Saccharomyces cerevisiae S288C: one gene and its partner. The protein of the gene in region 1 interacts with the protein of each later gene in a biochemical or structural test. Each region holds a gene or a part of one and is shown on either strand. Other genes may lie near its edges.

Evidence for each region. Proteins that work in one complex are often made in the same cells at the same time.
Region 2: of the proteins of RPA43 (region 1) and RIO1, one has a biochemical effect on the other in vitro, tested with the Saccharomyces cerevisiae proteins (one study listed by BioGRID).

The regions. Positions count from the first base shown.
Region 1 is NC_001147.6:957,471-961,761, reverse strand, and holds RPA43 (DNA-directed RNA polymerase I subunit RPA43), read left to right. Parts: upstream 1-1,579; coding exon 1,580-2,560; downstream 2,561-4,291. Other genes in the region: DNA-directed RNA polymerase I core subunit RPA190, read right to left, coding at 1-775; putative E2 ubiquitin-protein ligase UBC11, read left to right, coding at 2,930-3,400; YOR338W (uncharacterized protein), read right to left, coding at 3,773-4,291. UniProt on the Saccharomyces cerevisiae protein: DNA-dependent RNA polymerases catalyze the transcription of DNA into RNA using the four ribonucleoside triphosphates as substrates. Component of RNA polymerase I (Pol I) which synthesizes ribosomal RNA precursors.
Region 2 is NC_001147.6:547,360-552,318, reverse strand, and holds RIO1 (protein kinase RIO1), read left to right. Parts: upstream 1-2,072; coding exon 2,073-3,527; downstream 3,528-4,959. Other genes in the region: PFY1 (profilin), read left to right, coding at 1-21; glycerol 2-dehydrogenase (NADP(+)) GCY1, read right to left, coding at 267-1,205; RTC5 (Rtc5p), read right to left, coding at 3,759-4,959. UniProt on the Saccharomyces cerevisiae protein: Required for the final endonucleolytic cleavage at site D converting 20S pre-rRNA into the mature 18S rRNA. Required for the final steps of cytoplasmic maturation of the 40S ribosomal subunit.

The sequences.
Region 1 (4,291 bases):
TTTCATTCAACGCAGTTTCGAAGATTTTTGTAAAACCATCCTTTCTAAATTTTGGCGAAAACATACCACAGTTATCACACTTACCTCTAGATAATAGTTTTTTGTGAAACTCATGGACCAATTTCTTTCGTTCATCATTTACAGTAGCTGTGAAAGAGCCTCTCTCAGTAGTTCTGCCGTCTGACAAAGCTTTAGCGATGGCCATGTCAACATATTCTGAACGCTTACTTTTCAGTTCATTTAAGAGAGTGGAGGAAATATCCTTTGATTGCTTGCTTCCTTCACCATCCATTTCATCCTCATTATCTTCAATAGCTTCGTCGTCAGTGTACATACTGCTATTAAGAGAGCCCAAAGTTATTTCATCTAGTTTGTAAGATTCGTCTATCAAACCGTATTGTAACAATCTCAATTTACATGCGTAACGATGAACCTCTACTGACTTTAAACGGAAATGATGACAGAATAAACATGATGCCCTCAAATAAATATATAGCTGGTTAAAGAACAATGGATTATAACAAGGGACAGGTAATTCAATGTGACCTTGGTGACCTGGACAGAATTTTTCATCCAAACCACAAGTAGAACACAGATTCCTTAAGAATGCACCTAAGGCTAAGTCATATAAACCGCCTGATACTGGATGACCTAAGTTATCTAAAACCGTAGGATTGGTAATTTGCTTTGCTGATAGATTTCTAATCTCTTTAGCTGTTAGGATCCCGAAATCAACGGATGTGATTTCAGAACCAACCGGTTTAGAAATATCCATTTTTCTTTCTGGCTTTGATTATAATCGAAGTACGGCAAAAAAAAAGCAGAAAAAGGATAAAGTTCACTGTATAGTTAATGGATACCTAAGACCAGAATTATTAGCGCAGTACTTTTGTTTTTGATGAAGAGTTTGAGTAAACAGAATAAACCTTTTTAAGAGATGAGATGAGATTTGAAATAAAAAAAATTTTTTCTTTTTTTTTTTTTTTACCAAAATTTTTCACTATAAAATATTACCGAAGAAAACGGGTAATAATAAAAGAACCACCACTAAGAAAATAAACACGATAGTTATAAGGAAATGCAACGCCTTACTTCTATCCTCGATAATTTCTAAGTTCAAATCATTTTAGCTATAAGAGGAGACATAAGAAACTCGAAACAGTATAAGATGTAATTCTGAGACCCTCCGATAGCGGGCAAGGATACGATCTGATCATATGCCGTTCTTGTAAAGTTAAATTTAACTGCGAAGTTAAGTTACTTTTAATCAAGGCCCCGTAATAGATGTATTTCAGGTAGAAGAAACTTGGTGGAATCTTGCTTATTCCAGCTGCAAGTGTATCCTTTGTGTATTCTTGACAGAAAATATTACTGTCGCTTTGAAATGAAAAGATTCCGATGAGGGTGTATGGGTGGTTTGAAAAAAATTTTTCTGCAATAAAATACTAATGGCATCGCAAATATGACAATGTAGTGGAGGTTTACAATAAAATAGAGCCGAAGGGACTATCGTTATACACTCCCTCGTTTTTTTGCTTATATATAATAATATCAGAAAGATAAGAGACAAACGTGGATTATGTCACAAGTAAAAAGAGCCAATGAGAACCGCGAAACCGCAAGGTTCATCAAGAAACACAAAAAACAGGTTACAAACCCAATTGATGAGAAAAATGGAACTTCCAACTGTATAGTGCGTGTTCCCATTGCTCTCTATGTTTCTTTGGCACCAATGTATTTAGAAAATCCCTTGCAAGGTGTCATGAAGCAGCACTTGAACCCATTAGTAATGAAATATAACAACAAAGTTGGAGGTGTTGTGCTAGGTTATGAAGGGTTGAAAATTCTTGATGCTGATCCTTTAAGCAAAGAAGATACATCAGAAAAACTAATAAAAATCACACCCGATACCCCTTTTGGATTTACTTGGTGCCATGTAAACCTATACGTTTGGCAGCCACAAGTTGGAGATGTTTTGGAAGGTTACATTTTCATTCAATCCGCCTCACACATTGGTCTTTTGATTCATGATGCGTTTAATGCTAGTATCAAAAAGAATAATATCCCTGTGGATTGGACCTTTGTCCATAACGACGTGGAAGAAGATGCTGACGTGATAAACACAGATGAAAATAATGGAAACAATAATAACGAAGATAACAAGGATAGCAATGGTGGAAGCAATAGTTTGGGCAAATTTTCCTTTGGAAACAGATCTTTGGGCCACTGGGTAGATTCTAATGGTGAACCCATTGACGGTAAATTGAGGTTCACAGTGAGAAATGTTCATACTACAGGAAGAGTTGTTTCTGTGGACGGTACATTAATAAGTGACGCCGACGAAGAAGGCAATGGCTATAACAGCTCTCGTTCCCAAGCTGAAAGTTTACCTATAGTTTCAAACAAAAAAATTGTATTTGATGACGAAGTTTCAATCGAAAACAAAGAGAGCCACAAGGAACTAGACTTACCTGAAGTAAAAGAAGATAATGGTTCAGAGATCGTATACGAGGAAAACACCAGTGAAAGCAATGATGGTGAATCGAGTGATAGTGATTAGGACGGGAAAAATGAGAAAAAATCAAAACAAATAAAGATATACGTTATTGATATAGGATAATATAAATAATTGTACATTATTACAGTGCTGATAATCAATAGTCCTGCATACGTAGCTAAACCGTGGCAAATTCGACAATATATCAACAGTAATGAAGCTTAATTTGAAATATTTTTCCTTTATAACGTTAATGGACTCTTTTTAATGATGTCATTATTAGAAAGAGATTTTCAAGGAAAAAGCGTTGACTAATAGCGACACAAAACATGCTTCTGACACTGGATAAATGAGATATCAGAAAAAATTTTTCATATTTTACATCTTATAGGTGCTACAAAACCTGTATGATTCGAGGCTTGCTAGTATAGAATGGCAGTAGAAGAGGGTGGTTGCGTGACGAAACGTTTACAAAATGAGCTGCTACAGCTACTTAGTTCTACAACAGAAAGTATTAGTGCGTTTCCCGTAGACGATAATGATTTAACATACTGGGTAGGGTATATTACAGGCCCTAAAGACACACCGTATAGTGGACTTAAATTCAAGGTTTCATTGAAGTTTCCTCAAAACTATCCTTTCCATCCGCCAATGATTAAATTTTTGAGTCCAATGTGGCATCCAAACGTGGATAAGAGTGGCAACATTTGTTTGGACATTCTGAAAGAGAAATGGTCTGCAGTGTATAATGTAGAAACAATTCTATTGTCATTGCAGTCATTACTTGGCGAACCAAATAACAGATCTCCGCTGAACGCTGTGGCAGCAGAACTTTGGGATGCAGATATGGAGGAATACAGAAAAAAGGTCCTGGCCTGTTATGAAGAAATCGACGATTACTGAGTTAACCTAAGTTAGACGAAAAAATGATGTGACAGAAAAGCCACAGACTCTCAAACTCCAATGCTATTTTTCTACGGCGTTCATAACCCGTAATAATTCAATAACAAAATTGATAACGTAACAACCGAAGAAATATAATTAATATAAAAAGAAAACCTCATATATGAACGAAATCTATATGTAAAAAACCATAAATAAAAATATATCAAATGTGTTCTAAGAATAAAAAACCGTAACCGTAACCCTTAACCATAACCATTTAAACGCCTCAATTCTGTATTACTCAATGAGACTGTCATATTCCGTACTTATCAAATTTGCTCGTTTAAACGATGAAACGATACGCTATCCCAAAGGCGTACCGCCTCTTTCTTACAAATACTTTTCAAAATGTTTATCTTGTAACCAACCTACCTTTTCAAATGCTGCAAATAGCCTTGATGCTTTATTAACGTCTATTCTACAAGCCTTTTGAGCATCCGTTCTCCTGAACGGCAACCCCTTTTTGAATCTATGAACTTTTTCCAAGAAAAATCTTCTTTTAGAGTCCAAATAAAGATCACATGGAAGTCTCAGAATCTGTGCGAGAACTAGTTCTGCAGGATGCAGACGCTGTTTGAGAGGATCATGATTCAAGTCCATTGGAGAGCCTTTCCATTCCACTTTTAAAACTTTATTATTACTATTCGGCAAAGTGTGAAGAGGAGGTGAGTAATCCGGCAACTTTTCCCACGACATGCTTGGAATATACTTGGGGACATTATTCACTACGCCCTGTGAGGCCAATGGCGAAGAAATAGTATGAAGAGACCTTTTAACTTGACGTATCGGAGTCACTGATCTAACTGGAACTTCTTGAGCACTTTCTTCATCATAGTTTTCTGACCTGTT
Region 2 (4,959 bases), 410 kb from region 1:
TTGATTGGTGTTCAATACTAATTTATGCAGGTAAAGTTTTCTTGCCTTATACACCACCTATTCTGGCATCTGCGGGATTTCGCTTCCTATTTTACAAATATTTTATTGATTGACGCTAATTATCACTGTAAAAGGCGCACTTTTTATATGTAGTCACATCCGGTATTTAACATATTTACGAAACAGTCTTAAGAATATCGACATTTGATATACTTATGTTTAATTTATCTACATATTACAATCATACGAGAAACACGCAAAAACAATTACTTGAATACTTCGAAAGGAGACCAATTTGGATGTACAACCCTTTTTTCGCCCTTTTCCTTCGATATGTTATTGATAGCTTCAAAGTCCTCAGTAGACAAAGTAAATATTTTCCTGTTCGTTTTGATTCGATCGGGATTCACAGATTTTGGCAAGACAACATAACCTCTTTGGACGTGCCAGCTAATAACAACGTGTCCGGGTTGAACGTTATTTTTCTTCGCAATTTCAAGGATAACCGGTTCCTTCAATAGTGGAGCATCGGTACTACCTAACGGAGAATAAGCTTCAACCACAATGCCTTTACTTTTACAAAAATTAATCAATTCGTCTTGAGGTAGTAATGGATGTATTTCGACTTGGTTAGCAGCTGGCGTAAGCTTATTACCTTGAGATGCTAATAGATCTTTCAGGTTATTTATAGAAAAGTTGGAGACTCCAACGGCCTTAGTTTTACCAGTCTTTGGTAGTTCCTGCATTAATTCCCAGGTTTTGATGAAATTCCAATTGGTGATATCCACTGCACGAGAACCATCCTTCTTTGTTGGCACACTCAAGATGTCTTCATTTTTGATGTAGGCTGGATCTAATCTGGCAGGCCAATGCATCAAATATAAGTCTACGTAGTCCAATCCTAACCTCTTTAGTGATTGATCCAGCGCTACTTCAGGTTCGTGGTGTTGTGTACACCATAACTTTGTAGTAACAAAGATTTCTTCCCGAGGAACACCTGAATCCTTGATGGCTTGACCGACTTGGTCTTCATTACGGTAAATAGCAGCAGTATCAATGTGTCGGTAGCCATCTTTCAAAGCGGTTAAAACAGCCTTATAAGCATCGTTCTCTTTCGACTGCCACGTACCTAAACCTATTTGAGGGATTTGGGCTCCAGTATTTAGAGAAAGGATTTTCGTAGAATCATGTAAAGTAGCAGGCATTTTTCTATCTTAATTTAGTAATGAGAGCTGTCCAAATTTTAGCTTGCTAAGATGCACCTATTAAGCTCTCATCCTGAATCAAGTCATTAGAATGTCTTGATTCTCCCGGTTTTATACGCCCAGTAAAGCAATTCTTTACTGCCGTAGTCTTTTCCTGAAAGCTCGGTTTCTACTCTAGGGAATTAAGGAGAGCAGCGGTGTGCGATTCGTCACACGGGTGAATGCCTGATAGGCATATTATTAAGCCGTGTTTGCAATCTGCGTGCTAGATTGATTCTACCCCTTTCTGAGAAGGCGAAATGACCTTGCTATGACAATGAGGGAGAAAAGACCGCCCTTCCTTGTTCTTCCCCGGAATAGTCTGCCCCGATTGTTCGCCGGTGTTATAACTTACAATTCTTATACACTCCATAGGAAGTTTGTTGACAAGAGTTAAGTTTCAAATATCTAAAGCCAGGAAGTATGATCACCCAAGCATATCCATTGCAATATGTAAGACATTCAAGCGGATTTCTGGGACTTTAGAAAGTGAAATTTAAAAAAAAAAAAATTTAACAGAGGTCATACTTCCAAAAAAAAAAAAATGTAGAACTGGGCGAAATATCATCAGCTCATTCACTCTAATGCGGCCCTTCTGTAACCTCGAGCAAAGAGCCCAAATAACTTCATCTCTTCTCTCTTACGAACTGAAATATTCTCATGTTACCTATTGAGTAGTTGCGGGGACATTGGCGCGCGCAGAAAGAGTGAAAAATTTTATAGTGGAATATAGAAATTGAGATGAGATGAGATACTAAGACTAAAAATAATAGTAAAAAGAAGTTAAAACAGATTTAGAGATTCAAACTCCGTTATTTTTAGAAGGTCATGTCCTTGGAAGATAAATTTGATTCATTGTCTGTGTCGCAAGGTGCCTCGGACCATATTAATAATCAGCTCTTAGAGAAGTATAGTCACAAAATAAAAACTGATGAATTATCATTCAGCAGAGCGAAAACATCAAAGGATAAAGCAAATAGGGCGACTGTGGAAAATGTCTTAGATCCGAGAACTATGAGATTTTTGAAGTCTATGGTCACCAGAGGTGTGATTGCAGATTTGAACGGTTGCTTAAGTACTGGGAAAGAAGCTAATGTTTACCACGCTTTTGCAGGTACCGGTAAGGCACCCGTAATAGATGAGGAAACAGGCCAGTATGAAGTTTTAGAGACAGACGGATCCCGTGCAGAATATGCCATTAAGATTTATAAGACCTCTATCCTAGTCTTCAAAGATCGTGAAAGATATGTTGATGGTGAATTTAGATTTAGAAATTCCAGATCTCAACATAATCCAAGGAAAATGATTAAAATTTGGGCTGAAAAGGAATTTAGGAACCTGAAAAGAATTTATCAAAGTGGCGTCATTCCAGCTCCTAAGCCAATAGAAGTTAAGAACAACGTCTTAGTTATGGAATTTTTAAGCCGAGGTAATGGATTTGCCTCACCTAAATTAAAAGATTATCCGTACAAGAATCGTGATGAAATTTTCCATTATTATCACACAATGGTGGCATATATGAGATTGCTGTACCAAGTTTGTCGCCTGGTTCATGCCGATTTGTCAGAGTATAACACCATAGTTCATGATGATAAACTATATATGATCGATGTTTCCCAAAGTGTGGAACCTGAACATCCAATGAGTTTAGATTTTTTAAGGATGGATATCAAAAACGTTAACCTTTATTTCGAGAAGATGGGTATAAGTATTTTCCCTGAAAGGGTTATTTTTCAATTTGTCATATCAGAAACTTTGGAGAAATTTAAAGGTGATTATAACAATATTAGCGCCTTGGTTGCATACATTGCTAGTAATCTACCAATAAAATCTACAGAACAAGATGAGGCAGAAGATGAAATATTCAGATCGCTGCATTTAGTTAGATCATTGGGTGGATTAGAGGAAAGAGATTTTGATAGGTATACTGATGGTAAGTTTGACTTACTGAAAAGCTTGATTGCCCATGATAATGAACGCAATTTTGCTGCTTCTGAGCAATTTGAATTTGATAACGCTGACCACGAATGTAGTTCTGGCACAGAGGAATTCTCAGATGATGAAGAAGACGGCTCAAGCGGATCTGAAGAAGATGACGAGGAGGAGGGCGAGTACTATGACGATGATGAACCAAAAGTTTTAAAGGGGAAGAAACATGAGGACAAGGATTTAAAAAAATTGCGCAAGCAGGAAGCTAAAGATGCAAAAAGAGAAAAAAGGAAAACAAAAGTCAAGAAGCACATCAAGAAAAAATTGGTGAAAAAAACGAAATCAAAGAAATAATGCGGCCCTGTGAAAATACATTTGGGAATCGTTGTTTGGAGTCGAAGAACAGAAAGTAGGTCAGCAATTTAACGAAGAAAGTTCAAGACTAAAAGTGTAATATCAGTATCAAAAGTTTGGTACTTTTCATACAAGTGCAATAAATATTAAAATAAACAATAGCCTTATTTAGTGGTCTTGATTTTTAGTGAAATCAATCCCAATAACTAAAAACAGCAAAAAAGGCAGGCATCACATTGAACCGCCACCTTGATGTTGGCCAACTAAACCTGCCATTTCCAGTAAGGCACGGTCTTCTCCCAAGCTTCTCAGGTTAATTTGCTGTCTTCTTTTAGATTCTGCTTCTTCCCATTCCAACTGTTTGATTTGCTCTTCTAGTTCTTTCTCACCACCACAGCCCCATACCTCAACATCTTGAATCAAAAAATGCAATTCATAAGGGGAATTTTCCTCCTTTCTTTCCATCGACAATAAACCAGGGTCTAATGAACCTCCGTAACCAGTATTTCTAAACACAGCAAATTCTAATGTGCTGTCAAAAGTAAGCGACACGTTCCCTGGTATGTATCTCTTGGATGCTGGTTTTATTAATGGTTGTTTATCCCCGATTCCAATTCCGCCACCAATTGTATTGAAATAGATCGTGCCTTTTTGGTTGACTTTATAAATATCCTGCCTGGGTGATATTTCTATTATTCTCGTATTCAGATCGCCAAAATAATCTTTATTTGTTACTTTCCACGGATCGTCTATGTACACAGCGAAAGTAGTTTTCCTTTTATTCAAATGCGATGCATCCATCATTTGATCTGACTCTTTCAATTTAGGAAATTCTTCAAGAAAATGGCGGTATCTTGGATTCTTCTCAGCTGCGTATTCTTCAGAATTTGTTATCCTCATTCCGCTAACAACTAAAATCGAAGGCGCCATCCATTTGAACACCTTTGCTTGCAAAGACCTCATTGAGAAGCCACTTTTCCTGCCGATGTATAAACTTTGTAGCTTATGAATAAATAATTCCTTTGGTAGTCCCGTCGATAACTGTGCCAACAGTGCTGGAGTCATAACTTTAGAATCCTGAATAGACGATAAGTTTGTGTCATGATCAACTAAATCGTGCTGCAAATAAAAAAAATGCTCCATTAAATTCTCTAATGGTTTTAATAGATTGGGCATTACAGTTCTTATTGCAGTTGAAAATTGTTGAAACGTTATGGAATGTGATTCTATATCGCCCACCACGTCTGGATTCATAGTTCTAAGGAGATTGAGTGCTGAGACTTTGAAATTGCCCCATTGATCATGAGTCTCTGTATTATCCAATTTAGAATTGGTGGTTGGACAATCAACTGTTAAAATTAAAAGCCAAGTTAAAAACTGAAGCATAAAATCAGCAGGAATGCACAGCATTTCTGTATCAACATCATCAAAC